Sus scrofa: one gene and its partners. The main gene of each other region encodes a partner of the protein of the gene in region 6 in a complex. Links are inferred from orthologs where the notes say so. Each region holds a gene or a part of one and is shown on either strand. Other genes may lie near its edges. The genes, in order: SCNM1, SNRPD2, SNIP1, DHX16, SNW1, GPKOW and SRRM1.

Region 1 (4,516 bases), on a different chromosome or scaffold from region 6:
GTAGGGGCTTTGGAGTTCCCTGGTGGCTCAGTGGGTTGAGGGTCTGGTGGCATCACTGCTGTGTCTCTGTTGTGGTGAGGGTTCAATACCTAGCCCAGGAACTTCCTGGCCAATCCCTGGCCAAAACAAAATAAAACAAAAGGGTATGGGCTTTGGAGTAAGATAGATTTGTTTGAATATTCACTCCAGCACTTACTAGTTATTTGACCTTGGTCAAATTGGTTAACCAATCTAAGTCTCAGTTTCTTCACCTATAAAAAGGGTATAATAATTGTATGCTTGATAGGGATGTGACGATCAGATGCGCTAATGGATGTAAAGTCTTTAGTATAGTGACTGGTATAATAAATAAGAGCTGCTCACCTCCACCGGGATATTGAGACAGGATTTGTCTCAACCAGACAGTGCAACACGAGATGGGACCCTTGTCAATTAATTTATCACAATTAACTAATTTAGACACAATTAGGAAAATTTCAGGTGAAGTTGCCCAGAGGGCCACTATATCCTCATGAGGAATAAATCTTTTCTGAGTGTCTGCGTCCCAATCCTGGAAGACTCACCGTCACCCCGTATTTGAGTGCTAGTCCAGCCAGGGTGTCTCCGGGCGCCAACTGATGCTCCAGGCGTCTTTCCCTCACCGGGGAGCAGGCAGACTGCACAAGGCTTCCATAAGAACGAGCCCGGCTCCCTTGAAGCAGTCCTGACCCCCCGAGGGGGGCCTGTCTAGAGGGAGAGGCCATCTCCTCACCCTGCGGACAACTGGAGTTGCAACTGCGGGAGGCCCGGCCAAGTGACCGATAGTGACAGGCCCGGGGTCTGGGAATGAAAATCTGGAGGATTCCTTTCCCTTTCTGTGTTCTCTCCTAAGTCTCTCCGCCTTCCCCCCACTAGGCGACCTCTGACTCCTGGCTTCCCCGCCTTCCAAGGCCTTTTCCCACAAACCTGTAACCTGACTGTTCAGTCCCTACCTGAGTTTCTCCTTAGTACCCCTCCGACTTTCGATCCCCCACAACTCGCGACATTGACCTCTGACCTTTGACCACTAGACACCCTCCTCTACACTACAGAGTTTGCCCCCAGGTCGGTCCGCCAGACCTCCCAGCCCCCAACCCCGATTCCGCGCGTCCCGGGCTTGGTCGCTAGGGTCGGGAACTAATCAGGCCCACTCCAGGTGGGCTGTGGCCTCAGGCGAAGGGCGTGATGACCGCGAGAATCTGTAGCACACTTTCCCCTGAGAGATCCTCAAAGGTACGCTCCGCATCAAATCAGTCACACTCTCAAACTCGGGATCCACAGCTAGGTTCCTCTTTCTCCAAACGCCTCTAATCTGCCAAGATGCAAGGGCCTGAATCGGGCAGGGCGGCAAGCTCTTTGAAAAAAGACTTCATTTCCCAAAAGGCTCCGCGCCGGCGGGGTCGCAGAGCACCATAGGAAATGCAGTCCCCTCTATGGGCTAGAGGCGGGTTTTCGGGATCGCGCGGCGCATGCGTGGAAGCGCATCCCGGAAGTAAGGGGGCCAACCGGAAAGAGACAGGAAAGAAAGGAGACGTCCCACTCTTGCTACGGTGGCCTGAAAGGAGTGGCGAACGCGGCGCGATAAAACTTATATTTCTGGGGCTCTCACAGTCGTGATGTCTTTCAAGAGGGAAGGGGACGATTGGAGTCAACTCAATGTGCTCAAAGTAAGCGCGAGAGGAGAGCATCTGGAGCAGCTTCAGTTGCCGTCTGAAGGCTGTGAGGGAGCTGTTTTGTTGCTGTGGCAACAACTCGGGGGAGGGGGGCGGAGGAAGCCAGACGATTGGAACTGGGCCGACACCCCTTCTTCAGCCCAGATCTCTACCCTTCTTGTGGCCTTTATTCCCTTTGAGTCCTCGTCCTTGTCATTTCCTTTTTGTTCCTCCCTCATATCCAGCTGACCCCGTCCTCATTTCTTCCCTTGTTCCCTGCAGAAACGGAGAGTCGGGGACCTGCTGGCGAGTTACATCCCAGAGGATGAGGCGTTGATGCTACGGGATGGACGGTGAGGACTAGGAGTGGATCAAGCCTGGGGGTTCTGCGGTTAGAGGCTCAACAAACTTTTGTTATTAAGCAGATTGGAAAGAACAAGGAATCTTTGGCGGGGAGTGAGTAACAGGGATGTTGGTGGTGGAGACTGGGAGACTTGGGATTTGGGCTTTGGAAAGGAGTTCTAGGCTGTGGTGGAACCTATGGCAGAGACTCCACTCCCCAGGAACCAATTATCTTCTCTCCTCCTCTCTAGCTTTGCTTGTGCCATCTGTCCTCACCGACCGGTACTGGACACCCTGGCCATGTTGACTGCCCACCGTGCAGGCAAGAAACATCTGTCCAGTAAGTTTGTGGGAAGACAGAGCATAGAGAATAAACCCTTAAAGGGTTTATTCACTCTGGGTGCCCTCCTTTTAATTCTCTTTCCCTTTCTCCTGAGGCCTGCAGCTTTTCTATGGCAAGAAGCACCCAGGAAAGGGCCTGGAGCCAAATCCAAGACAACAGAATGAATTGAGGAGAGAAGAGACCAAAGCAGAGGTAATCAGAGAGGGGAGGGTGTGTTCCAGGCTGCACACCTTAGGCTTGAAGGCTCTGGATTCTTTCTAGCTCTGAAGGTTCTGACTTTGTCTCCCATCTCCATGCCAGGCTCCTCTGTTAACCCAGACTCGACTTATTACCCAGAGTGCTCTGCACAGAGCTCCTCACTATAACAGTTGCTGCCGCCGAAAGAACAGGTCTGTGGGGTGGGTAATCCAGAAGTAGGGAGGAACAGGAGATCGATCGCTCTAAAGTACTGTTTTCCAAATTGGATTCTGAGGAATACTAGTGTTCTGGAAATGCTAACTTGAATTTCAGGAAAAAAGAATTTTGTTTGGGAAATAGGATTTTGTAATCCTGTTTGACGCATAGTAATATTACGAGTTCCCATCATGGCTCAGCGGTGAACAAACCCGACCAGCATCCATGAAGATGAGGGTTTGATCCCTGGCCTTGCTTGGTGGGTTAAGGATCCAGTGTTGCTGTGAGCTGTGGTGTAGGTTGCAGACACAGCTCGGATCCCATGTTACTGTGGCTGTGGTAAGGGCTGGCAGCTGTAGCTTGCATTCACCCCTAGCCTGGGAGCCTCCATATGCCACAGTGCAGCGCTAAAAAGACCAAAAAAAAGAATAGTAACAGTATATTTTCAGGGTTCTACACAGTCTTAAAAAAAAAAAAGCTGAAAAAACTAACTTAGGCTTTCCTTAAGTTCATTTGATTCCAAAATCCTTTTTATGCAGAACACCTGTTAATATCTTGAGGAATACAGTTTAGGAAGCACTGCTTTAAGGGGTTGGGAGTTACAGGAGATTTGGTCCTTTCCTTTACTGCTTTTACAGACTTTGATTCTTCTCTACCCAGACCAGAAGCCCCTCGTCCCTCTGTCTCTCGTTCCGCTTTTTCACCCCCAGAGGTTGAATCCCAAAGTGAGAGGATCAGTAGGGAACTTGAGCCTGCGGCTGCATCACAAACCAAGGAATCAGCCACTGTCTCATCCCCTGCACCTATGAGCCCCACAAGAAGACGGGCTCTGGATCATTATCTCACCCTTCGAAGGTGAGTGTACGGAATCACTTTCCTCAGATTGTCCCTTTTCTCTCTGGCTCTCCTTTTTTCAAACCTCAAATATTACTTATCCCTACTAGCTTTTGGGGGGGGCGGGAGGCCATGCCCACAGCATGCAGAAGTGTGCCACAGCAGTGACAATGCAGATCTATAAACTACCGAGCTACCAGGGAACTCCGCTACTAAATTCTTAACACATTTCCTTTCCTGATCGATTCTGTTTGTTCTGATATTTCCAGTTCTGGATGGATCCCAGATGGACAAGGTCGATGGATAAAAGATGAGAATGTTGAGTTTGATTCTGATGAAGAGGAACCCCCTGATCTCCCCTTGGACTGACACTCTTTCCCCATTCAGTTCACAAATAAACTATAGTGGGCGCTGGGAGCCTGACTTTCCTTGAGTCTGGTTCCTTGTCTCATTTCAGGATTTCAGGTCTGTTCGTTCTCAGCCTGGCCAATATTTCCCTGCAATGTACACAGCTCCCCATACTTCTAGCCCCTCCCCCCACTTCTACCAAAGTCATGCCAAGCGTCAGCTGCATGCAGCCCGGTGCCCTAAAATAAGTCTGTCAGAAGGAGGTCTTTGCCCTTCATGTTGTCTGACTTCTTCCCCACCTCCACTCAGAGTCTTTTCCTCCTTCAAATGACATGAAGTTTTTGGGTAGGCACTGGGTGGGGTGGGGGTGGGAGCTGGACAGGTCTGGAAACAGGGCCAGGGCTTAGCCACCCTGTGAGAGCAGAAGGGACTGAAGGCATTGGCCAGGTTATGGGGGACACCAAGGGAGAGAGCTCCCCCCACCTCCTCCTGGTAACTTGACCCTCCCTGCCTGCTGATCCCTAGAGTATAAATAATCCCCTGATGAACTGGCAGTAACCCTGAGGGGTTAGCGCCAAGATTTCCA
Region 2 (4,359 bases), on a different chromosome or scaffold from region 6:
GCAAAAAACCATTGGCAGTCCTCAGCATCAGGGAAGTGCTTTCCTCTCGGCAGGGGGGTGAAGCTTACCTCTGGATTGCTTTTGCCAATGGCTACTGTGGGACCAAGAACAAAGCTTTCACTCTGAGCCTCAATTTACTCTTGAGTAAAGTGAGAACGAGAACGATAGGAAGTGCCGAGCCCAAGGAGGCAGATAGACCTGGATTCGAACTCAGGCTCTGCCTCTTCCAAACTGTCTGACCTTGGGTGAGTGGCTTCATCCCGCTCTTCTCAGTTTCCTGCTCTGGAAGCTGGAAGGAACTCCAATGTGTGCCTCCTGGGGGTGAGATGCTGTGAGGATTGATGAGTTAATGCTTAGAAAGTCTTGGAGTTCCTGTCGCAGCGCAGTGGTTAATGAGTCCGACTAGGAACCATGAGGTTGCGGATTTGATCCCTGGCCTTGCTCAGTGGGTTAAGGATCCAGCATTGCCGTGAGCTGTGGTGTAGGTCGCAGATGCGGCCTGGATCTGGCGTTGCTATGGCTGTGGTGTGGGCTGGAAGCTGCAGCTCCGATTAGACCCCTAGCCTGGGAACCTCCATATACCGCAGGTGCGACTCTAGAAAAGACAAAAAGACACACACACACAAAAAACTTGGAGGAGTTCCCGTTGTAGCGCAGTGGTTAACGAGTCTGACTAGGAACCATGACGTTGCCGGTTCGGTCCCTGCCCTTGCTCAGTGGGTTTACGATCCGGCATTGCCGTGAGCTGTGTGTAGGTTGCAGACGCGGCTCGGATCCTGTGTTGCTGTGGCTCTGGCATAGGCTGGCGGCTACAGCTCCGATTGGACCCCTAGCCTGGGAACCTCCATATGCCGCGGGAGCGGCCCAAGAAATGGCAAAAAGACAAAAAAACACAAACAAACAAACAAACAAAAAAAACTTGGAAAGTCTTAAAGAGGCCTAGTAGTGGAGTTACTGTTGTGGCGCAGTGGAAAGGAATCTGTCTAGTATCCACGAGGATGCGGGTTCAATTCCTGGCCTTGCTCAGTGGGTCGGGGATCCGGCGTTGCCCTGAGCTGTGATGTAGGTCGCAGACGTGGCTCAGATCTGTGGCTGTGGCATAGCCCAGCGGCTACAGCTCTGATTCGACCCCTAGCCTGGGAATCTCCATATGCCTCAGGTGTGGCCCTAAAAAGACAAAATAAAAAAAAAGTTTCCAGGAAGTTCCCGTCGTGCCGCAGTGGTTAACGAATCCGACTAAGAACCGTGAGGTTGCGGGTTCGATCCCTGCCCTTGCTCAGTGGGTTAAGGATCCGGCGTTGCCGTGAGCTGTGGTGTAGGTCGCAGACGTGGCTCGGATCCTGCGTTGCTGTGGCTCTGGTGTAGGCTGGTGGCTACAACTCCGATTCAACCCCTAGCCTGGGAACGTCCATATGCCGTGGGAGCGGCCCAAGAAATGGCAAAAAGACAAAAAAAAAAAAGTTTCCATCCAATTTCTCCCCAGTTTGTCTAGGTCACCCACGGTCACCAGGCTCTAGGTGGCTTTCAAGGGTTCTATATTGGGAGTTCCCCTGGTGGCTCAGTGGTTAACAAATCTGACTAGCATCCATGACGATGCAGGTTTGATCCCTGGCCTTGCTTGGTGGGTTAAGGATCTTGTGAGCTGTGGTGTGGGTTGCAGAGGCGTTGCTGTGGATGTGGCGTAGGCTGGCAGCTACAGCTCCGATTAGACCTCTAGCCTGGGAACTTCCATGTGCCATGGGTGTGACCCTAAAAAAGAAGAAAGAAAGAAGAAAGAAATCCTTTCTGAAAAAGGATTCTGTATTGGACACCTGGTGGAGTATTTGCTTTTCCTACTCCCGTCTTCCTACAGAAAGTGTTTTCGTTGTTTCAGAAGATGGCTTTCTGTGCATACTGTTCCCTTCCTTGCTTTTCCCGCCCAATGCTATGTGCTCAAGGTCACGCCACAGCGAGGACGGGGCTTCCTCAGGGGTCTCCTTTCTCAGGCGGGATGATACCTCCCTGTAACCTCCTGTCCCTTTACTTTGCTTGAATTTTTCTTCATAGCACTGACACCACCTGCCAGTAGATTTCAGGTGTCTTGTTTACCTGCTGAGTGTTCTTCCCCCGTCAGTCACTAGAGTGTCTGTCTCTCTGTTGAGTGAGCTGAATCACGTGTCCCGCCCACCCCGCCCCCGGCACCCTGAGGACAGGGACAGAGCAGAACTGGAGCAGAGGCATCACGTACCCCGTCAGGCCACCAGGGACTGCTGGTTCTCCAAAGAGAAGCTGTTCCTTTGCTGATGCCTTCAGAAGTGCTCAGAGTTAAAAAGCACAAGCAAAACCATTTATCCTGTGCCTGGCCCTGTTCTGAGTGCTTGATGGGAATACCGTATCGATTCATTTATTCTTCACAACAGCCCGAGGAGGTGGGCTCTGTGAACATCTCCCTCTTGCTCTCCTCTCCTTTCCTGTCTTTTCTCCCTCCCTCCCTTCTTCCCTCCCTGCGGCCAGTGCCAGGGATCTGATCTGAGCCACAGTTCTGCAGTTGCGAGGTCGGTGCTGCTGCTGCGCCAGCAGATCCTTTGACCCGCTATGCCGGGTCAGGAATCAGACCTGTGTCCTGCAGGACACTGCAGAGATGCCCCTGACCCCGTTGCACCACAGCAGGAACTCTGAGCATCCCTGTTTTATTTATTTATTTATTTATTTATTTATTTGCATATTCTTCCATTTTATTTTATTTTTTATTTATTTATTTATTTATTTATTTTGGTCTTTTTTGCTATTTCTTGGGCCGCTTCCGTGGCATATGGAGATTCCCAGGCTAGGGGTCCAATCGGAGCTGTAGCCACCGGCCTATGCCAGAGCCACAGCAACGCGGGATCCGAGCCGCGTCTGCAACCTACACCACAGCTCACGGCAACGCCGGATCGTTGACCCACTGAGCAAGGGCAGGGACCAAACCCGCAACCTCATGGTTCCTAGTCAGATTCGTTAACCACTGCGCTACGACGGGCACTCCTTATTTTTTTTTTTTAATAATTTTTTTTATTTTCCCACTGTACAGAAAGGGGGTCAGGTTATCCTTACATGTATACATCACAATTACATTTTTTCCCCCACCCTTTCTTCTGTTGCAACATGAGTATCTAGACAAAGTTCTCAGTGCTATTCAGCAGGATCTCCTTGTGAGCATCCCTGTTTTAGAGAGGAGGAAACTGAGGCACAGAGGGCCGAGGGACTCACAGAGGAGGCCTTGGAAGCCGGCCAGCCTGGTCCCGGGCCTGCGCTGCTGGAGGAGGGGCGGTCAGGGTCCCGCTCACTCCCGATGCTCCCTCCCCGCCAGGCACTGCAACATGGTGCTGGAGAACGTGAAGGAGATGTGGACTGAGGTCCCCAAGAGCGGCAAGGGCAAGAAGAAGTCCAAGCCCGTCAACAAGGACCGCTACATCTCCAAGATGTTCCTGCGCGGGGACTCGGTCATCGTGGTCCTGCGGAACCCGCTCATCGCCGGCAAGTAGGCGCCCGCCCGCCCTCCTGCTCCCTCCTTCGTGAAGACCTGCCCTTCGTGATGGGAATAATAAAGTCCTGCGTTTTTTCTAGAGGCATCTGTCTGTTCCTGGGGCCTAAAAAGTGGGGCTGAGCCGGGGAGGGGGCAGCTGGCCATGAGGCTGAGCCCTGGGGAGGGGTCCTCCCTGAACCGTGAAGAGGCCTGACTTGCCCCATCCGTGAGGGGAATGGGTTGAGCAGAGAGAGATTTTGCTGTCTTTTCTGCTTAATTTCTTCCAGCTACTCATCGTTTTCTCTGTCTCCCTTCTCCCTACTTCTCTTTCAGTAAGTTGGTTTCACTCTTAAGTTTCTTTCAGTCTTTTTTGTTTTTCTTCATTTCTTTAGTCAAACGATCCCCCAAGTGTCTCCTCTGTGCCCAGCTCTGTGCTGCAATGTTGTAGACACCGCTGTGCCCAGAAGAGCCCCAGCCTGCCCGCCTGACAGGAGGGGAGCTGCATGGTTAAAGCGGTCAGTACCCCAGGCTGACACCTGCTGAGCTGTGAGGGCTCCGGGCTCTGAGCAGGCACTGTGGTTTGTCACCTCCAGCTCCAGAGGCTGGGACTGAGGCTCGGAGAGGTGATGGCACCTGGCCAGGGCTGTCCAGCCAGAGTGGTGATGCTGTGATGGAGACCCACCCTGCTCCTGAGACTGTGGCCAAACCCCTGAACTCTGCTGCCGTCAAACTGCAGCTTAATTACCCTTGAGAGAAATTCTCTGGCAGATGTAGGGAGGTAGAGGTGGGAAAGGGGGCCGTGCCTATTGTGGGGGGATTAAATAAAATCCCTGTCTTGCTCTGATGTGCACACATCATGCTCTCCCACCCCCACC
Region 3 (3,094 bases), on a different chromosome or scaffold from region 6:
CTCAGTTTCTACCTACTTGCAAGGCTGTTACGAGGATTAAGTGGAAGTAAAACTAAGGATGCCTGGCATGTGTTAGCTGAATCTGTATCTTGACAGGTTCCGTAGCACATCTTTTATTGTTGGATGTTCACAACAATCCTGTGGGGAGGCGAGGACAAGTATTAATATCCCATTGGACAGACAAGAAGATATAGCTCAGCAGAGCCGAGTGGCCTGCCTAAAAAATGATCACTATGGTAGAGCTCTGGCTCAAATCAATTTTAATTTGAACAATTTTGATCATTTTATCTGTTCTCTTGACTGTAAAGTCCAAGTCCATCATTGGTTTGTTCCCATTAGGACAGAGGCTAAAATACGGTGAAATATAAGTGAAAGAAGTATTATATGGCTTCTAAACAAATGTATTTCTTAAGCATGGCAAGAGGCCTTAGATTCCCCCCTCCTCACCCCAAAGGGCTGCACCTGTCGCATATGGAGGTTCCCAGGCTAGGCGTTGAATCAGAGCTACAGCTGCTGGCCTGCGCCACAGCCACAGCAACGAGAGATCTGAGCTACGTCTGCACCCTATACCACAACTCACGGCAACGCCAGATCCCCGACCCACTGAATGAGACCAGGGATGGAACCCACATCCTCATGGATACTAGTCGGATTTGGTTCCAGTGTGCCACCACGGGAACTCCAAGGCCTTAGATTCTTCTAAGGTTTTGATCAGCCATGAATTCCTCCACCTAGTGACCGTTTATCACCGCATTTCTACTAAGCATATTTAACTCGCTCCCAATTTCCAAATCCATGGCCATACCTTCTCCTTGATTTCCTAGCATTTGAACTTGAACTGTGTTCAAGCCAGGTTATTTACATCATCATCTAAGCTATGTTAGCCAAGAGTTGGATGATATGAGGCAGGATTTCACTCACAGGTTTCTCTCCTTTATCTCTGTTAGGCTTGTGGAATATACCCGTGCTGATGGGACAGTTGGCCGCAGGGTGAAGCCCTACATCATTGACCTCGGCTCAGGCAATGGAACGTTCCTGAACAACAAGCGAATTGAGCCTCAGAGATACTACGAACTGAAGGAAAAGGATGTCCTTAAATTCGGGTTCAGCAGCAGAGAGTATGTCCTGCTTCATGAGTCCTCTGACACATCTGAAGTAGACAGGAAAGAAGATGAGGATGACGAGGAGGAGGAGGAAGTGTCTGACAGCTAGCAAACTAAGAAACAACCCAAACTCCCGAGAGACCTGTTCTTTCTTCAGAGGCTTTGGGATTGACTCTTAAGGGCACTGCCGTGCGCTCTGTAATGCCTCTTATTGCCTTAAGTCTTTCCTCTGTTGCTGACCAGCTTACGTTAGTTACAGTTTAAGAAAACTGATTTCTGTTTGGTTGAACTCTTTTCTGTGGCACATCAACCGCATGCCTGTGGGCGTTTGTTTTCCGAACAGTCTCACCAACACATCCCGTTTTAGTAGAAACATTGTGGCTTTAGTTGGTGCTTTCAGAACTGCTGTCTAGGAAACTATAAACCCTTCCTCAAAGGGGAACTGTGGCTTGTTCTCTTTGTACAGTTACTTTATTTATATAGTTGTTAAGCTGTGTGGACTGGGTTGGTTTTTGTTTGGGGGGCAAACCCCTGAACAGAGAATCTTACTAAGCTTTGGTTATTACCAAAACAGCCTCTAGACTATATACCAAAGCTTTGACCTGGTTGAGCTCTTGAGTCATGGAAATTGATTTTGCACTTCATCTGGGGGGGGGGCGTGGTTTACCACATGACCTCACTATTGACTATTGGACTTAAAGAGATGCTTTATGGAGCCTGCTTAAGCATATGACTGTACAGGAAGATCATGGCCACTGCCGGTAGATGCTGATGACACGTCATGAGAGGCTGAAATGGGTCATGGATCTGTGAGAGAGCTCTGATTTCTCCTTGGAGCATGTTCATAACAGTTTTGATCATCTTATCTGTTCTTCAACTTTGCATTTTTATTTTGATTTTATCTCCATTCTTCTCTGAGAAACACACTGTCATTTATGTGGCAGGGTCCTTGCTTTATTCTAACAACATACATATGTCTAAAGGAGGTTGTGTGGTTCACATGTTTCATCTTTTTAAAAAGACGTTCAGAGAGGTGGTATTTACCTTCCCAAGGCTGGAAAGCATGGGGAATTGCCCGACTTCCTAATTCTCTACCAGAGGAATATGTGTAAGTAGAAAAGTCATTAACTACTTACATCTATTGTGTGTGTGTGTGTGTGTGTGTGTGTATATATATGTACATATTTAAGAAATTGTGTGTGAAAGAGCGGCATACTGATTTTCATGAGAATGTTTTGGGATGTAAATGTAATACTACATTATAGGCAAAGGCCTCCCTGCATTTGAAGAGCAGGTTTTCATTTATATATGTATTTTTGGAATAAAAAATAATAAAATTTGTAAATATAACCTCATTTCGATGTGTACTTCTTGCCTAGCATGGAGGTATGTTTGCTGCAAAAGAAATCTTTGTTACCAGTGTTTTGTTTTTTTTCTGCCTTTTCTAGGGCTGCACCCTCGGCACATGGAGGTTCCCAGGCCAGGGGTCTAATGGGAGTTGTAGCCACCAGCCCATGCCACAGCCACAGCAGCGCCAGATCCAAGCTGCGTCTGCGACCTACACCACAGCTCACAGCAACACCAGATCCCCAACCCACCGAGAGAGGCCAGGGATTGAACCCGCAACCTCATCGTTCCTAGTCGGATTCCTTAATCACTGAGCCACGATGGGAACTCCTATATCAGTATTTTTGAGTAAAAGGAGACAGTTGTGGAGGGTGTCACAGGGATATTGAACCCACACCAGCGTAGGAACCCAGATCTTCAAATCTCAGCGAGTGAATGATGGTCCTGCTGAAGCAGCCATGTTTTCTGAGTTAGCAGTGAAGGGGTTTTCCTTCCCAGAGTAGTCGGGTTATACTCGGTGGGCTTCATACCAGTTGACCCCAGTCCCTGCTTGTGCACCCTCAGCTGGTGATGGGGAGGAAGGAGAGATGATCCAACTGAGGGCTGCTGCTAACTCTTCCTCTTGGGTTGAAACTAATGTCATT
Region 4 (4,274 bases), on a different chromosome or scaffold from region 6:
TTTTGTCTCCTGGGCACTGGGACTCACCATGGCTTTCCGGTCTTCCTCAGCCATCTTGAGGCGCTTCTGAGCCTCTTCATAAGCCTAGGAGAAGAAGGCAAGAGGCCCAGAGAGGACTTTGTGAGGCCCAAAGTCCCCACACCCATTCTCTTTCTAGAATCCCCAGGCTCAGTCAGGTGTTCTCCAGCACAAAGAAATGTCCCCCCTCACTGAGGACTCTCTGTGGCTACAGGTCCAGCAGAGAGCCTTCTCAGCCGGAAGACGCCACTGGAGGCAGCTCCTGTCTTCCGAAAGGTCACTTTCTGCAATCACACCAAACCTCAGACGCAACTTCCTGGGGATTTATGGAACGTGCTGCTCCTACAAACCTTCTTGTCTGAGCGCTCCAGGACGTTGCGAGTTCGATCCTTGTCCCGCTGCCTAACCCGCTCCGCAAACGCATCCCGTTCCTCCAGGTCCTGAAGGCGCTCTCGCTCTGTCCGCTCCCACTCATCCTCCGACTCTGGCTTCTCCGTCTGTGGTTTATTCCCCCTGCAACCCAGCCCAGAGGATTAGTTAAGGGCATCCCGAGGCCTGCTGTCGCATTATCCACCCGCCCCATCCTCTCACCCCCCACTTTTGGTCTTTTTAGGGCCACCGCACCCATGGCACATGGAAGTTACCAAGCTAAGGGTCCTACACCACGGCATGGCAACTCGGGATCCAAGCCACGTCTGTGACCTACACCACAGCTCACAGCAATGCCAGATCCTCAACCCGCTGATTGAGGCCAGAGATCGAACCCGTGTCTTCATGGATACTAGTCGGGTTGGTTACCACTGAACAAGAATAGGAACTCCTCTCTCACCCTACTTCTGACTTACCCTGTAGTCTTCTTTCCTTTCTCAGGAACTTCTTCCTCCTCTTCTTCCTCCTCTTCCTCCTGACGTTTCTTCCTGAGGTGTTTCCGTTTTTTCCGCTTCTTCTGGAGACTGCTCCCAGCCCTGCCTACAGCCTCCTCACTGCTCTCCTCACTGTCCTCCAGCAACCTGTAGGATCGGTTCTTTTCCAGCAAGGCTCGGGCCTCTCGCTCAGCTGCCCGAGCTGGCTTTTCTGCCACTGCCTTCCGTGGGACCTGTCAGAAGAGGAGAAGACAAGGGGGTGTGGGCAACTCCCGATCCCTGCCTACCTACTCAGCCCTGCTCCTAATTTAAGGAGTAATTTGTTTTTTGTTTTTTTTGGTCTTTTGAGGGCCGCACCTGAGGCATATGGAGGTTCCCAGGCTAGGGGTCCAATCAGAGCTACAGCTGCCGGCCTATACCACAGCCACAGCAACACGGGATCCGAGCCACGTCTATGATCCATACCACAGCTCATGAATCCTTAACCCACTGAGCGAGGTCAGGGTTCGAACCCGCATCCTTGTGGTTGCCAGTCAGAGTCGTTAACCACTGAGCCATGACGGGAACTCCAGGAGTAACTTGATCTTCAACTGGCCTTCATTCTCTCCCTTCCCCAAGACCTTGCACCAGGCCCACCTGCCTGAATGGGACCGCTCAGCTTCTAAACTTCTTTTCAGTAATTCATTTAACAAACATTCATTAAAGCCTGTCCTGTGCACCCACTGCTAGGCATTAGGGATACTGGGATACATTAAGAGAAAAATCCTTATCCTCATGGAGTTTACATTCTCAAACAGTTCTCAACTGTTCTGCCTCCCTTCTTTCCAATGACTAAGTCATTCCCATACAAGGGAGTTCCAGTTGTGGTCAGTGGTTAATGACTCTGACTGGCAACCATGAGGATGCGGGTTCGACCCTGGCCTCGCTCAGCGGGTTAAGGATATGGCGTTGCCTAGAGCTGTGGTGTAGGTTACAGACGTGGCTCAGATCCTGTGCTGCTGTGGCGTAGGCCAGCAGCTGTAGCTACAATTGGATCCCTAGCCTGGGAACCTCCATATGGTGCAGGTGCAGCCCTGAAAAGATGAAAGACAAAAAAAAAAAAAAAAAAAAATGTCATTCCAACACAAGGACTGACAAACTGACAAGGATTGTTTTGCAGAAGCCTGTCACGTGCCTGGCACTGTACCAGACTCCAAGGATACAGTGGTGAACAGATTAACAAAAAGCCCTGACCCTCACATCACAATGTTCTAATTTCATCTCTCACTAAGCACCTTGTAGGACGGATGCATCAGGTTATCTGCCATCCTGTAAACAAGCTCAATACTTTCATTCTTTTTTCTTTTTAGGGGCACACCTGTGGCATGTAAAGTTCCCAGCCGGGCTAGGGTCTAATGGGAGCTATTGCTGCCGGCCTGAACCACAGTCACAGAAAGGGAGGATCTGAGCCGGTGTCTGCTACCTACACAACCCACGGCAACACTGGATCCTTTAACCCACTGAGTGAGGCCAGAGATGGAACCTGTGTCCTATTAGTCGGGTTTGTTACCGCTGAGCCACGACAGGAACTCCCCACACATTTCTTCTATAACCGCACTACTCAAGGTGTGGTCTGTGGACCATCAGCATCACCTGGAAACTTGTTAGATTTCGAAATGAAGAAACGAAGAATCCTTTCCAGACCTACTGAATTAGAAGCAGCATTTTAACAAAAGCTCTAGAGGAATCCTACACCTGTTAAAAGTTTGAGAACACTGCTCTATACCGCTTAACCCAACGTACTTAAGCCGTCCTCAACCCGCAGGCGATAACGGACAAAGGATAAACGCCTGTTAACTGAGTTAACTTAATTCTCCAAACGCGCGTCCAGCCCAGCCTCACTGGGACAAACAACCTGGGGACCCCTTCCCTGCTCCACCCCCTCTCCTATTTCTCCCACGCCGGGGCCCCGCCCCTCTAGGCACCTTGTTCCAGAGTTTCAGGGCGAAGTCCCGGGCTGGCCCGCTGAGGTCCAGGGTATCAGTGTCTCGCAGGCGCTGCACAAACTCTTCCGCAGAGGCGCAGCGCTGTGCGGTACCGATCAGGAACTGGGCCACGTGCCGCTCGCTCAGCCCCAGCACCGAGTGCAGCTCGTCCTGCACCCAGCGCTCCAGCCCAGCCGGCGTCGCCATGGCGACCTATGCTCCTTATTCCTGGCCCTGAAAGTATCTCCAGCAGCCACGCTGGCGACCGGGCGGGTCGGAGGCCTGGAGCCCCGGGCTGGAACCTCTCCTCCCCAAAGAAGCTGCCTTAGCACTTCGGGGTTCGGTTGCTGACAGTCCAAAGCAATCTTCCCGGACCCCGGAGGCCGGAAGTGGTCCACTTTTCCGGCCTAAGCACTACGGTGGCTGAACGGGCCCAAATCTCGCGGAAGTGTACGGGATAAAAGTTTCATTTCCTCCCTTAGTTAATCTCTCTGCCTCCCCCACCACGTTGGTGATTTGTAGGTATTTCATTCAGCAAATGCTAAGATCCTAATATGCGTTAGGTACAGTTTCAGTCCCCGGGGATATAGCAAAAATCAATCCGAAACGAATCCCGTGATGAATTTACAGAGGCTGCGGGGGAGGGGGAAATTTACATGTAAATTAAACATGTAGGAGTTCCCGTGGTGGCGCAGTGGTTAACGAATCCGACTAGGAACCATGAGGTTGCGGGTTCGGTCCCTGCCCTTGCTCAGTGGGTTAACGATCCGGCGTTGCCGTGAGCTGTGGTGTAGGTTGCAGACGCGGCTCGGATCCCGTGTTGTTGTGGCTCTGACGTAGGCCGGTGGCTACAGCTCCAATTCGACCCCTAGCCTGGGAACCTCCATATGCCGCGGGAGCGGCCCAAGAAATAGCAAAAAGACAAAAAAATAAAAAAATAAAATAAACATGTAAATTCTATGAAACCAAAAATAACGCAAGGTTTGTGAGTGTGTGTTTGCGGGAGGGCGGTGAAGTCCATTTCAAATTAGAAGATCGGTCCACTTATTACAGATTCGCCCGTGCTGATTAGGAGTGACCTTTGCTAGGACTGATACTTTCTGCAGAAATGAATATAGGTTAAGCATAAGGCAGGACTCTAGGTAGGAAGAAATTTGGGATCTGAAGGAAAAAACTCAGTGCCTTCTCAGAAAGTTATTTTAGAAGATCTCCAAACTAATGCACAAAATGTATTTTGCTTTTTTTTTCTTTCCTGACAGCTTGAGAGATTGATCAGTGGCTACTTAATTTTTTTTGGCCACGCCCAAGGCATTTGGAAGTTCCCTGTGCCTGGATCTAACCTGCTGCACAGCAGTACAAGGCCAGATCCTCACCCGCTCGAATCAGGGAACTCCACCGTCTGCTTAACTTCATTTTTCATCGATTTTTA
Region 5 (3,784 bases), on a different chromosome or scaffold from region 6:
TCCCTACCAAGAGGGACCAGCTGAAACCTGAGATATAAATTTGTATGACTGCCTAATTGTTTCCCCCCAAAGCTCAACAGCCATGACATAGGAGCAAAGGATGGTTTATCATTACTGCTGTCTTAGAGGGTAAAATGAAAATGTTTCAGAGAAAGAGAAGAGACAAAGGACAGGTTCTGATGATTAAGTACTTTCCCCAATATCTTCAATTCTAAAAAGATTTTTTTTTAAACCTCTATTTGGAGTATTTATTTATAAGAAAAAAACTCGATCTTAAAGCAGAGTTCCTTTGCTCTGAGTGTGGCTGCCCTGTGATGAGATAATTTTAAGTAAAACTTTATTTTTGGTCTTTGGATTACTTTGTAAGCAGGCCCATGCTAAAACCAGCATGTGTTAGTTTTGTGCTTAAGTGAGAAAGAAGTTTGTATGATTATATTCAAACGAACCATTAAAATAATTAAGCATCTATGTACTTTATGAGTCCATGGAAGAGAAACAGAAGAAACTATAGACAAAACTAAATTTTGACATTTTTAGGGTGCTAGGATTTTAAAAATTTGCTAGCATTTAAAAAAGTTAGTACTAGAAAAGAATTGTTTTTAATATACAGTGCTGTACATCAATTATATCTCAATAAAACTGGAAGAAAAAAAGAATTATTTTAAAAATGTAAAACAAATACATACAAACCCTAAGTATATATAAGCTATTATCAATTTGGGGAATTTCGAAGGAAAAAGTCATTGCTATTATGAAGTCACTTTTAATTAGCCTAAGTATGCTTCACTGTTATTTTTAACATAAACTAAATGACCAGAGATTTATCATTTTCACACAATTAAAAAAACTCCTCGTACAGTATTTATCAATGGAGAAAAAAAAATTAGTAAGAGGGTTACCTTGTCTTTTGACTGTCCTTGTCGAGCAATTGCATCATACTTAATTTTTCCTTCAGCATCCACCTGAATGGCCAGTGCATTTGACATTTTTTTCTTTCGTCCCATATCCAGAGGATACTGGGCCACATGGATCTCTGGGAAAGCACCTCCATCTCCAAAATCCTATATGTTAAAAAGAAATAAGAATTTATTTAATAATAATTTGAAGAGGTCCCTGGTGGCATAGAGGGTTAAGGATCTGGTGGTGTTACTGCTATGGTTTGGGTTTGATCCCTGGCCAAGGAATGTCCACATGCCGTGGATGTGGCCAAAAAAGAATATTTAATAGTAATTTGAGATTCAACATATACTCATTCATTCAACAAATAATTATTAGCCCTTATTATGCTAGACGCTAGAGATACAGCAGTAAACAAAACAGAAGTTCCTGATCTTGTGGAGTGTACATTTCCGTAGGAAAAAACATAAAAAGCATAATTTTTGGCTTGTAATAAACACCTTGAAAGCAAGAAAGGGACTAGGAAGAGGGGCTATTTTCAATAGTGTGGTTGAGATAGTCTTTGTGAAGAGGTAACATGAACTGAAGCCTGAATGATGAGAAATCAGTCATGGGAGGATCTGCGGGAAGCATTTACTAGGCAGATTCAAACAGCAAGTGAGAAGGTTCTGCTGCAAGAATGAGGTTGGAGTTCCCGTCGTGGCGCAGTGGTTAATGAATCCGACTAGGAACCATGAGGTTGCAGGTTCGATCCCTGACCTCGCTCAGTGGGTTGACGATCCGGCGTTGTTGCCGTGAGCTGTGGTGTAGGTTGCAGACGCGGCTCGGATCCCGCGTTGCTGTGGCTCTGGCGTAGGCCCCGGTGGCTACAGCTCCGATTCAACCCCTAGCCTGGGAACCTCCATATGCTGCGGGAGCGGCCCAAGAAATAGCAACAGCAACAACAACAACAAAGACAAAAGACAAACCCCCCCCCAAAAAAAAAAAAAGAATGAGGTTGGCATGTTCTAGGAAGAATGTCCAGTGGGGCTGTAGCTTACTGAGGGCAGAGGAGCAGACACATAGGTGATACAGCTGCATGAGCAGACAAACACCAGATCAGGAAAGGGATCCTAAACCACGGCAAGGATATGGATTTTATGTACATGGCAGGAAGAAATTAGGCAAATTGTTTAGCATAAGAAAAAGATTTTGTTTTAGCATACATAATTTTCTTTGTGAAGAACTCACTATAGAAGTCAAGCTATAGTTAGAGCAGAAATGTAAAGAATTATATTTCTTCTTCAGATTTTAATAATGTACTATTTATTCAGTGTTCCATGAGAAGCGGATAAATAGGAAATGAGTTCACCACATTTCTAATGATGATTATATACAATGGTTTAGAAGAGAGAATTAAGACTTCTAAAGTAAGGAGTTCCTGTCATGGCTCAGTGGTTAACAAATCTGACTAGGAACCAGTAGGTTACGGGTTCGATCCCTGGCTTTGCTCAGTGGGTTAAGGGTCTGGTGTTGCTGTGAGCCGTGGTACACGTCGCAGACATGGCTCAGATCCTGCCTTGCTGTGGCTCTGGTGTAGGCCGGCAGTTACAGCTCCCATTAGACCCCTAGCCTGGGAACCTCCATGTGCCACGGGAGCAGCCCTAGAAATGGCAAAAAGACAAAAAAAAAAAAAAAAAGATTTCTAAAGTAAAACAAGCTAAGTAAAGTCTGTTGATGAAGTTTAATAATACAAAAAAGTATGTCATCAAATTAATACATGAATACCAAACATTAAATACTTTTGTTAGATTTAATATTTGCTTAGTACCTTATTATAATGTACAAAATATAATCCACACATATTGTCTTATAATTCTTAAAAGCCTCATATTTCCTATGGAAAAAATTCAACTTTAGATAAACTAAGTTAAAAATGATATTTTTCCCAGGTTTTATGGTAGTTATGCAGGACTTGAACCCAGATCTTTTTTTTTCCCCCCCAGCAGTGAAAGCATCGAGTCTGAGTCACTAGACCGCCAGGGAACTCCCTGACCCAGATCATTTGACTTCAAAAAAAATCTCTGAATTTTCTGCTAAACTGAAATACGACAGGAAAAATATATTAATATCAATCATTTGGCAGGGGTTTGATGAAAAAAATTATGAAAATAGCCACTTTTATATTACCTCTTTCTTCAAGAAATATTCCATCAGACCCTGGATATATGACTTTCTAGGTACAAAATGCTTACTTGCTAGAGAAAGGTTTGCCTTTTTTTTTAACTAAACAATAAAGCTAAAGGAGACATTTTCTTGTAAATTAGGCAGAAAATAGTTAAAACGTTCCCAAGAAAGGTGCTATCTGTACTCTGGGCCATCATTCTGACACATGCTCAGATTTGCTAGAGTTCTTCAACTAAAATAAGCACTTCAGGACTGTAGTTGTTGCATTAGGTAATCATTAAGCTTGCCAGAAAATCATAGCTTTTACTTTGAAAACTAGAACAAAATGCTTTCTTCCAAGAACATTTGCTCCCCTCAAGAAGCATTCACAGTGTTTTTTCTTTTTTTTTTTGCCACATTCAGAGCATGTGCAAGGTCCTGGGCCACCAGACTGAACCTGTGTCAGAACAGTGACCTGAGCCACTGGAGTGACAACGGCAGATCCTTAACCCACTGAGCCACATGGGAACTCCACAGTATTTCTATTAGCTGGTCATTCTGGTTTGATTTTCAAATAAACTATTCTGCTCCACCAGGATACATGAAATAACTTTGTCAAGTAAAATTTTAAAAGGTAATAGCACCTGAATGTTGTCCTGATGTTGAAATGCAAGTAAGAATGAAATTTATGTCATATGTGAAATGATGCCTGCCACACCCTCTAATCTATTGAGGCCAAACA
Region 6 (4,263 bases):
TTGACTCCATCTTGGGAACATTCAGGGGTGGGGCCCTTAAAAAATAAAATAAGTAAAATAAATTTCATATGGAAATGCAAAGAAGAAAACTATGTTGTAAAAGAAGACAGTGAAGAGTAATTAAAATACCTGACTTCAATATATACTATAGAGCCACAGTAATCATGACAGTGTAATAATCATAGAGGCTGTGAAGGGTCTGCTAGGAAGAGGGAAGAGCATGGGCAAAGGCAGGGAGGTGGAATGACAGTGGGCATAGCTGGGGAACTTCGAAAGCCCCATGGGGTCACAAGAACAGGGCAGAGCAGTGAAGGGGGTCCAGTGTGTCCCCCTCAGACAAGGGCAGGTCCGAGATGGGAGGCGCATGGGGTCGAAGGAAGAATGAAAGCAGGGACCATTCAGCCATGTCACCGACAAGGACCGCCAGGACCCTGAAAGGAGGGAGCGAGAGGTGGCCCAGCCAGCCAGGATGGACACCAGGACACAGTGTGCCCGTCCACAGCCCATGGTGACATAGTAACTGGGCCAAGGGACTGTCGGGGGTGAAGGGCCTGAGACCCACACTGCCCTTGGCTGAGGAGGGGCCCTGGGTCCCTCCCGCCCTCAGCTTCTTCCTCCACAAAGTGGTGGCCACAGGCCTTCTCTCCCTGCTCCCCATTCCTCCTTCCTGCTTCCACTACAGGACCACTGTGCCCAAGCATTCCCCCCTCGGGGCCTTTGTCTCCAGAGCCCCTCACCCCCACCCCCTTTCAGACCTAGGACGGGCCTCCTCTCTCCCCTCTCATTGCCTGGGGTCCCCTCCACCCACGTGCCTTGAAAGCCTCCTCGAGTCCAGCCCCCTACTGTCCCTCCACTCTCCAGGAGACCCACCCTTCCCTACCTTTGGAATCCCCCAACCCTATCATGCTCAGGGCCCTGACGCCTCCCTCCCGTGGCCCCCCAAGCCTCCGAGGTCACCCTCCCCCCCAGCCCCACATTCCCCGCCAATTTACTGAGTGCCTACGATGTGCAAAGCTCTGCTGGAGGCTGCAGAATACCCTGGGTAACGTGGGTTCGGGGTCCGCATCCAGTTTCCAGTTGTCAGAGCGCAGGAGGGGCCCTGAACGTCTCTGGGCCTCGACGTCCCCCTCTCCCACGTGGAATGACGACATCCCCGGGGTGGAAAAGAGGTTTCCCACGGTGCTGGGAAAGAGAGGCAGCGCCTGCGGCAGAGCGAGGCCAAGGGCTCGCGCGGGCTCCCTCCCTGGGCCAGGCCTCCTTGCGGGCCGCCAGGTAGGTCACCGCGCTGCTTGGGGCGCCTGAGCACGGGACCGGCCGGCCTCAGCCGCGTCCAGGCCCGGGCAGGCGGCCAGGTGAGCTCGCCCAGGCGCTCCCAACACGCCACTGGCGTCCGTGCGTCCAGCGGGCCGAGCACAGGTCATGGAGCCGCGCGCGGGGGGCGCCACAGACCCTAGGGGGAGCGGAGGAGGTACGGGGCGAACGGGAGCGAGTGGACGCGTCCCTGCCAGCCCTCGCCCCGCCTGTCTGCTCGTCACCTTTTCCTTCTGGCAGGTGGTAAACAAGGCAGCCCTGGCGCCCAAGGGGCGGCGGCGGCCGTGGCGGCGGCGGCGGCGATAGAGGGCAGGGCCCCAGCGACCCGGGCTGGGCTCTGGGCCCCCTACCCGCACCCGCGCTGCGAAGCGGTGCACCAGACCCGGGGGCTCTCAGGAGGGTCCGGGGAGAGGTGCAGGAGGGGGTCTGCCCGGGGTCACTGGACACACCTGGGCACTCGGGCAGGGTCTGTGGTGGCCTCCGGGGGTTAGGCAGGGCCCTGCGAGGATATGGGAAGGGGCAATCCGGGGCTACGTGGGCCGGCAGGGGTACCTAGGCTATCTAGAGGGGAACCGGGGGTGCCGGGGCCACAGGGGCCGGACCGTGTTCTGTCGGGACCTCTGGGAGAGTCGGGATCCTTCTCGATGCTGGCGGGGAAGAGTTTGGGATCTGGGATTCTGGCGGCAGTTGGGGGAGGGGGCAGTAGGACACCTCCAGAGATGCCCACAGGGTGTTCGGAGGGGTCCGGGAATACTGGGGTTAAACAGCTAAGTCCAGAGATATCTTGGGGGCAGGCGGGGTCCACGGGCAAGCGAGGGACAGTCGGTGACCTTCGCAACTGTGGAAGAGTGGTCCCGGGTCTCCGGGATCTTGATGGCCACTCTAGGTCTTCGGTCATCGGGGGGCGTGGGGGCTCGCTGAGACTGAAGGTGGGCGTTGATCTGCCCTTTCCGTTCGCCAGGCGGTGGCCTTCCTCCGCGCGCGGGCCCCAGCGCCCGGGAGCGGCTGGCGCGGCTGGACGCGCGCCCCCTGGCGGCCCGAGCTGCGGCGGACGTGGCGGCGCTGGTACGCAGGGCGGGCGCCACTTTGCGCCTGCGCCCCAAGGAGGGTGCGTGACAGGGGCGGGGCGTCCAGAGGGCGTGGTCGGAGCGGAGCCGGGTTCTGGGGGGGCGGGCCTGGGATTGTTAGTTACTGCCCTGGGTGGGGCCAGCGAGTGAGTGTGAGTTGGGAGGACGAGGCTCGGCGGTGTTGAGGGGTCTGGGATTTAGCCTATAATATTCCTCTGGGAGGTGACACAGAGGACGGCTATTGGATCTGGCGTTGCTGTGGCTGTAGGGTAGACCCGCAGTTGTAGCTCCGATTTGACCCCTAATCTGGGAACTTCCATATGCCTCCGGTGCGGCCTTAAAAAGCTAAATAAATAAATAGAGAATATTATTAATTTCCCAGATATCCCCTACCTACACTTCAAACTGATTTTTCTTTTCCACCTTTTTTTTTTTTTTCTTTTACGGCCACACCCAGGGCATATGGTATGGAGGTTTCCAGGCTAGGGGTAGAATCAGAGCTGTAGCTGCTGGCCTATGCCACAGCCACAGCAACGCCAGATAGGAGCCGCATCTGCGACCTACACCACAGCTCATGGCAACGCTGGATCCTTAACCCACTGAGCAAGGCTAGGGATGGAACCTGTGTCCTCATGGATGTTAGTCAGATTCATTTCCACCAAGCCAGGATGGGAACTCCTGATTTTTCTATTTAATGAAATATTGTAACTATTGTTCCCTGTTGAGCCATGAAGAATTTTAAAACATCTGTAATCAAAGTATAACAGTTCCCTCGTGGCTCAAGGTACCTGACTGGTATCCATGAGGATGTGGGTTCGATCCCTGGCCTCGCTCACTGGGTTAAGGATCCGGAGTTGTTGTGAGCTCTGGTGCAGGTCACAGCCGTGGCTGGCATCCTGGGTTGCTGTGGCTGTGGCATAGGCCGGCAGCTTCAGGTCCAGTTCGACCCCTAGCCTAGGAACTTCCATATGCCGTGAGTGCAGCCCTAAAAAAAAAACCAAAAACACCCAAAGTATAACTAACATTCACTCATTATCATACAGAACATCCTGCCCCAATTTTCCATTCTTTCCTTCAGATCCATTCTTTGAAATGGAGTTATCGCATCAGGGAAGAGATATATATTATTATACTGCCCCCGATAAACTTTCAGTCAATTTATGCCCTTATCAGCAGTGTATGAGTGTGCCCATTTTTTTCTTATTCTTTTTCTTTTGGGGCTGCACTGGCAGCATGAGGAAATTCCCAGGACAGGGACTGAACCCAAAGTATAGCAGCGACCCAAGCTGGTGCAGTGACAACACCAGATCTTTAACCTGCTCGGCAGCAGGACAATTCCCCCATTTTCTTCCATCTTTAATAACTTTGGGCATCATCCATAGTACTTACTATTTTAGATCTCGGCCCAGTTAGGCTCTCTGGACCAAAGTTCTCTTATCTGTAAAATGGATTTTAAAATAGCCCCTACCTGCAGTTCCCATCCTGGTGCAGCGGTAATGAATCCGACTAGGAACGATGAGGTTGCGGGTTCAATCCCTGGCCTCCCTCAGTGGGTTAAGGTTCCAGCGTTGCTGTGAGCTATGGTGTAGGTCGCAGACATGGCTCTGATCTGGCGTTGCTGTGGCTGTGGTGTAGGCCAGCAGCTGTAGCTCCGATTGGACCCCTAGCCTTGGAACCTCCATGTGCGGCGGGTGCAGCCCTCAAAGGACAAAAGACAAAAAAAAAAAATAGTTCCTACCTTACAGAATCCTTTGGAGAACGAAAGGAATGCTTAGATGTGCAACTGGCATAGAGAACATACCATAGAAGTGTTTGCACTTTTTTGCTTGGGGTCTTTACCCATGAGTTAAATGAAGAACATTTCATTATTTATTTATTTGCATTG
Region 7 (3,784 bases), on a different chromosome or scaffold from region 6:
CCCCCAAGATGACCACTGCTATCTGCTGTTTTTTTAATTTCCAATATTATATACTGTAACCTGCCCCCGTCCCAATATTATGGACAACTTTGCAGTTTTAAGAAATGGATGTGGTTAGAATTGTTGGTTGTTCACTGAATTTTACTGATGTGTATATATCTTTCTAGACATCTTCATGAATTTTGAAAACCAAAGAAAGATAAACTTTTTGTATCATTGTATTATGACTTGGGATTCTGAGAAGAGGGGGAAAGTAAGCTTTTTTTCCCCCCACAGTGACATCCTGAAAGTTCCCAAGCCTGAACCTGTACCAGAGCCTAAAGAACCTTCTCCAGAGAAGAATTCCAAAAAGGAAAAGGAAAAGGAGAAGACCAGACCAAGATCTCGGTCACGTTCCAAGTCAAGATCCCGGACACGTTCTCGCTCTCCTTCTCATACTCGACCTAGAAGGCGCCATAGATCCCGATCAAGGTGGGTAATGGCTGTAATATCTGCCTAGATCTTAAATTTTATGTGCTAACTCTCCTAGATAGAATTGGGTAAATTATTTCAAAGCAGTAGAAAAATTTTGCACAAATGTTAAACTTTGAATTTAGAGAGAATTTGAGGGCACTTTGTATGGTCTGTAAAAATCTACACACTCATATCCCTTGAAAACCGTTTTTTGGATGTAGTTGTCAAGAAAACTATGTCAAGGTGTTTGTTCTTGCTCAAGATTTATTCAGATTCTAATTCTGTTTGTTATGGTAGATCATACTCCCCTAGAAGGCGGCCAAGCCCAAGAAGACGGCCATCTCCTCGAAGAAGAACTCCACCGAGACGAATGCCTCCTCCACCAAGGCATAGAAGGAGTAGATCTCCAGTGAGACGGTGAGAGGTGGTTTTTTGTTTTGGAAGTGACCATATATTTGTTTTAGGCTAATCTTTGAATTAGTGTCATCCTGGGAAAAAAGAAGTCATGAGTGGTATTAAGCAATGTCTTATAAAGATCATCCTCATTTGAGGTTGTAGTGCTGTTACTTGTGCAATGCTAAGCAACACTAATCCAGATTTGGAAAATTAAAAACAAATTCACTATCTTATTGATACTTGTTATCTGTGTTAACCTTGATCTTTTCAGATGCTACCAAGAAATCCTATCAAGTAAGGGAATTGGCTGCCTTACCCTTTCTTTGGGTTTTAACCATTAGCTTCTAAATATAGATGACTGCAGAGCCAGTTGATTGCTCTACCAGTATTAAAATAATTCACTTGATTTATACTCTTAAAGATTTTTTTCATATTTAAGAAGTAGTGAGCAGTTATTATAAACAGTTAAAACAAGTAAAACGAACTTAGAGTTACCCAGTCCCATTCCATAGATATAACTATTGTTAGCAATTTGAAGAGGCCGCATAAAAGTAACCCTGTCAATACCAGTGTTCCTTTTTAAAAATCATTTTTAAATTAGCATAAGGTGGAAGTTGCTGTTGTGGCTTAGTGGTTAGGAACCCAACTAGTATCCATGAGGATGCAGGTTCCATTCCTAGCCTCGCTCAGTGGGTTAAAGGATTCAGCATCACTGCAAGCTGTGGCATAGGTCGCAGATGTGGCTTGGTTCTGGTGTTGCTGTGGCTGTGGTGTAGGCTGGCAGCTGCAGCTCTGATTTGACCCCTAGCCCAGGAACTTTCACGTGCTACAGTTGTGGCCCTAAAAAGAAAAATCAATAAATGAATAAATTAGCATAATCTATCACTTGTAATAGAAAAATTGTTACATCTGCCCAAAGTGGAGGCATGGTGTACTGGTAGCAGAGCTTTGTACCTTTTAAATTTTTTTTAATTTTTAAATTAAAAAAAAAAAATTATGGCTGCACCCAAGGCATGTGGAAGTTCCTGAGCCAGGGACTGAATCCTAGCCATAGCTGCAACCTATGTGCAGTTGCAGCAATGCCAGATTCTTAACCCACTGTGCCATGGCGAGAACTCTAGTTTTGTGCTTTCTTGACAATACATTTCACCTGTTTTTGGAAGGACCTGATAATTATACTTCAGATTATACTTAGGACAGAGTTTTTGGTTTTCGAGTTTATTGAACCATTTTTTATAACTACTGCTAAAAATTACGGAATTGATGTTACCATTGATAAATAAATAAGACTAAGGATGTAAATGGTCAGCCAGTTTAGGCGTCATACTTTTCTAAAAATGATTGTTCCTTAGAAAAGTAGAGCTACTGCTTTCTAGTAGAAGATTAGTGGAAACAGCTATTTCTTACATTGGAGTTTTGCAAAAAGTGTGTTTTAATTGCTTACTGAGCCATTTAGCAGTCAAATAATTTGCAGATTGTGTAAGATTCCCTTTCAGCCAGTTTTTATCTCACACTTAAGGTAGGGTTTCTTTTTTTCAGGTTCTCAGGAATTCTTCCGCCAAAGGTGAATTCTGCAGGTACACATAATTGCACAGAACTTACCACAAATTTTGCCGCAGAATTCGAGAGGCCCCTGCTTCTAAGTTTATGTAGCTAAATGAATTCCTAATCCTGCACATCTTTTTTTTTAAAAATGCAGCCTAAAGGTTGACATTTTATTATTGAGTGAAAAAATACTTTGCCATCCAAATTTTATATGCAAACTCCAAAACACTCATTATTCCAAGGAAGGAAGAGACTGGCTAGTTATTATATTGTAGCACTGGACATATTTTATAGCTGGAAATAAAAATCAAACAGAAGCATTTATCAGAATAAGTTATTTGTAGTTAGTCTCAGAACTAGCTGTTTCCTGCCTAGGTTATGGTGTTGTTTCCCTTTAAAAAATTAATGTGCTTAGCTACATAAACTCAAAAGTTGGATACAAATAGCTGTATTTTTGTGTAAACTGTACATTCCTGTAAGGTCGTTCTCGGTACGTATGCAGTTAATGAATATGAGCACTTTATTCCACAGAAGAAGGCGTTCATCAGCATCCTTGTCTGGAAGTAGCTCATCATCATCTTCGTCTCGTTCCCGGTCACCGCCAAAGAAGGCTCCAAAGAGGACATCCAGCCCCCCTCGAAAAACTCGTAGGCTATCTCCTTCAGCAAGTCCTCCAAGGCGAAGGCATAGGCCCTCACCTCCAGCAACTCCACCACCAAAAACTCGTCATTCCCCAACACCCCAGCAGTCAAATCGTACAAGGAAGAGTCGTGTTTCTGTCTCTCCAGGGAGGACTTCAGGTAAAGGTAAAAATCAATATGTTCTTTCTTTGTTCATTTGGCTACAAAATACCTAGTCGTCATTGTTGTCAAAGTATGAAGTAGCTGGGTAATATTCGTATGTGATGTTTTTATAAATTTGCTGAGAAGCTCACCTTTTCTTTCGTGCTGTAAGTTCTTGGGGTTTGTTAATGGAGTCTACATGGTAAAGCGTTTTGCTCTTAGCATGCCCTCGGCGTTGAGTAGGTGGAGAGATGTGCTATTACCAGGCGTGGGCTGTTTGAGTTGAGGTAACTTAACTGAAGTTTGTGTTGTCATGGTAAGGGAACATTTTATTATTATGAGACCAGTTAACTTTTTTTTTTTTTTTTAACCCAGAAGATTTTTTGTTTGATACCTTAATTGAGGACTTCATATTTTGTTTTAATTCTTTCTTGGCCACATTGTACTCCCCAGGGCTGGACATGGTGTCCTCCTAAAAGCTGATTTCTGCTTTTTAATTTAGGCTCTAGGCAGGGTCCTTTTGAGTGTTGTCCTTGCTTTATTCTGCAAATTGACTTTTGAGGAATTTATGATCTGTGATCCTGCCAGGTAACCAAGCAAGTAGAATG

What was found.
Region 1: GPKOW (region 6) and SCNM1 share a complex: the UniProt entries of both Homo sapiens proteins name them as parts of the minor spliceosome. The link is inferred for Sus scrofa from reciprocal best matches to the Homo sapiens genes GPKOW and SCNM1.
Region 2: GPKOW (region 6) and SNRPD2 share a complex: the UniProt entries of both Homo sapiens proteins name them as parts of the minor spliceosome. The link is inferred for Sus scrofa from reciprocal best matches to the Homo sapiens genes GPKOW and SNRPD2.
Region 3: GPKOW (region 6) and SNIP1 share a complex: the UniProt entries of both Homo sapiens proteins name them as parts of the minor spliceosome. The link is inferred for Sus scrofa from reciprocal best matches to the Homo sapiens genes GPKOW and SNIP1.
Region 4: GPKOW (region 6) and DHX16 share a complex: the UniProt entries of both Homo sapiens proteins name them as parts of the minor spliceosome. The link is inferred for Sus scrofa from reciprocal best matches to the Homo sapiens genes GPKOW and DHX16.
Region 5: GPKOW (region 6) and SNW1 share a complex: the UniProt entries of both Homo sapiens proteins name them as parts of the minor spliceosome. The link is inferred for Sus scrofa from reciprocal best matches to the Homo sapiens genes GPKOW and SNW1.
Region 7: GPKOW (region 6) and SRRM1 share a complex: the UniProt entries of both Homo sapiens proteins name them as parts of the minor spliceosome. The link is inferred for Sus scrofa from reciprocal best matches to the Homo sapiens genes GPKOW and SRRM1.

What each region holds. Positions count from the first base shown.
Region 1 is NC_010446.5:98,079,374-98,083,889, reverse strand, and holds SCNM1 (sodium channel modifier 1), read left to right. Parts: upstream 1-1,515; 5' UTR 1,516-1,634; coding exon 1,635-1,685; intron 1,686-1,952; coding exon 1,953-2,023; intron 2,024-2,263; coding exon 2,264-2,352; intron 2,353-2,449; coding exon 2,450-2,547; intron 2,548-2,655; coding exon 2,656-2,744; intron 2,745-3,408; coding exon 3,409-3,603; intron 3,604-3,851; coding exon 3,852-3,951; 3' UTR 3,952-4,046; downstream 4,047-4,516. Other genes in the region: LYSMD1 (lysM and putative peptidoglycan-binding domain-containing protein 1), read right to left, coding at 564-743. UniProt on the Homo sapiens protein: As a component of the minor spliceosome, involved in the splicing of U12-type introns in pre-mRNAs. Plays a role in the regulation of primary cilia length and Hedgehog signaling.
Region 2 is NC_010448.4:52,035,127-52,039,485, reverse strand, and holds the end of SNRPD2 (small nuclear ribonucleoprotein Sm D2), read left to right. Parts: intron 1-3,328; coding exon 3,329-3,503; 3' UTR 3,504-3,586; downstream 3,587-4,359. UniProt on the Homo sapiens protein: Plays a role in pre-mRNA splicing as a core component of the spliceosomal U1, U2, U4 and U5 small nuclear ribonucleoproteins (snRNPs), the building blocks of the spliceosome.
Region 3 is NC_010448.4:93,596,414-93,599,507, reverse strand, and holds the end of SNIP1 (smad nuclear-interacting protein 1), read left to right. Parts: intron 1-947; coding exon 948-1,212; 3' UTR 1,213-2,458; downstream 2,459-3,094. UniProt on the Homo sapiens protein: Required for pre-mRNA splicing as component of the spliceosome. As a component of the minor spliceosome, involved in the splicing of U12-type introns in pre-mRNAs. Down-regulates NF-kappa-B signaling by competing with RELA for CREBBP/EP300 binding.
Region 4 is NC_010449.5:23,204,822-23,209,095, forward strand, and holds the start of DHX16 (putative pre-mRNA-splicing factor ATP-dependent RNA helicase DHX16), read right to left. Parts: upstream 3,053-4,274; coding exon 2,846-3,052; intron 1,115-2,845; coding exon 864-1,114; intron 532-863; coding exon 369-531; intron 85-368; coding exon 28-84; intron 1-27. UniProt on the Homo sapiens protein: Required for pre-mRNA splicing as a component of the spliceosome. Contributes to pre-mRNA splicing after spliceosome formation and prior to the first transesterification reaction.
Region 5 is NC_010449.5:100,739,384-100,743,167, forward strand, and holds part of SNW1 (SNW domain-containing protein 1), read right to left. Parts: intron 1,062-3,784; coding exon 900-1,061; intron 1-899. UniProt on the Homo sapiens protein: Involved in pre-mRNA splicing as component of the spliceosome. As a component of the minor spliceosome, involved in the splicing of U12-type introns in pre-mRNAs.
Region 6 is NC_010461.5:43,188,936-43,193,198, reverse strand, and holds the start of GPKOW (G patch domain and KOW motifs-containing protein), read left to right. Parts: upstream 1-1,360; 5' UTR 1,361-1,419; coding exon 1,420-1,551; intron 1,552-1,624; exon of another isoform or gene 1,625-1,777; intron 1,778-2,272; coding exon 2,273-2,419; intron 2,420-4,263. UniProt on the Homo sapiens protein: RNA-binding protein involved in pre-mRNA splicing. As a component of the minor spliceosome, involved in the splicing of U12-type introns in pre-mRNAs.
Region 7 is NC_010448.4:82,319,058-82,322,841, forward strand, and holds part of SRRM1 (serine/arginine repetitive matrix protein 1), read left to right. Parts: intron 1-276; coding exon 277-471; intron 472-750; coding exon 751-870; intron 871-2,925; coding exon 2,926-3,200; intron 3,201-3,784. UniProt on the Homo sapiens protein: Part of pre- and post-splicing multiprotein mRNP complexes. As a component of the minor spliceosome, involved in the splicing of U12-type introns in pre-mRNAs. Involved in numerous pre-mRNA processing events.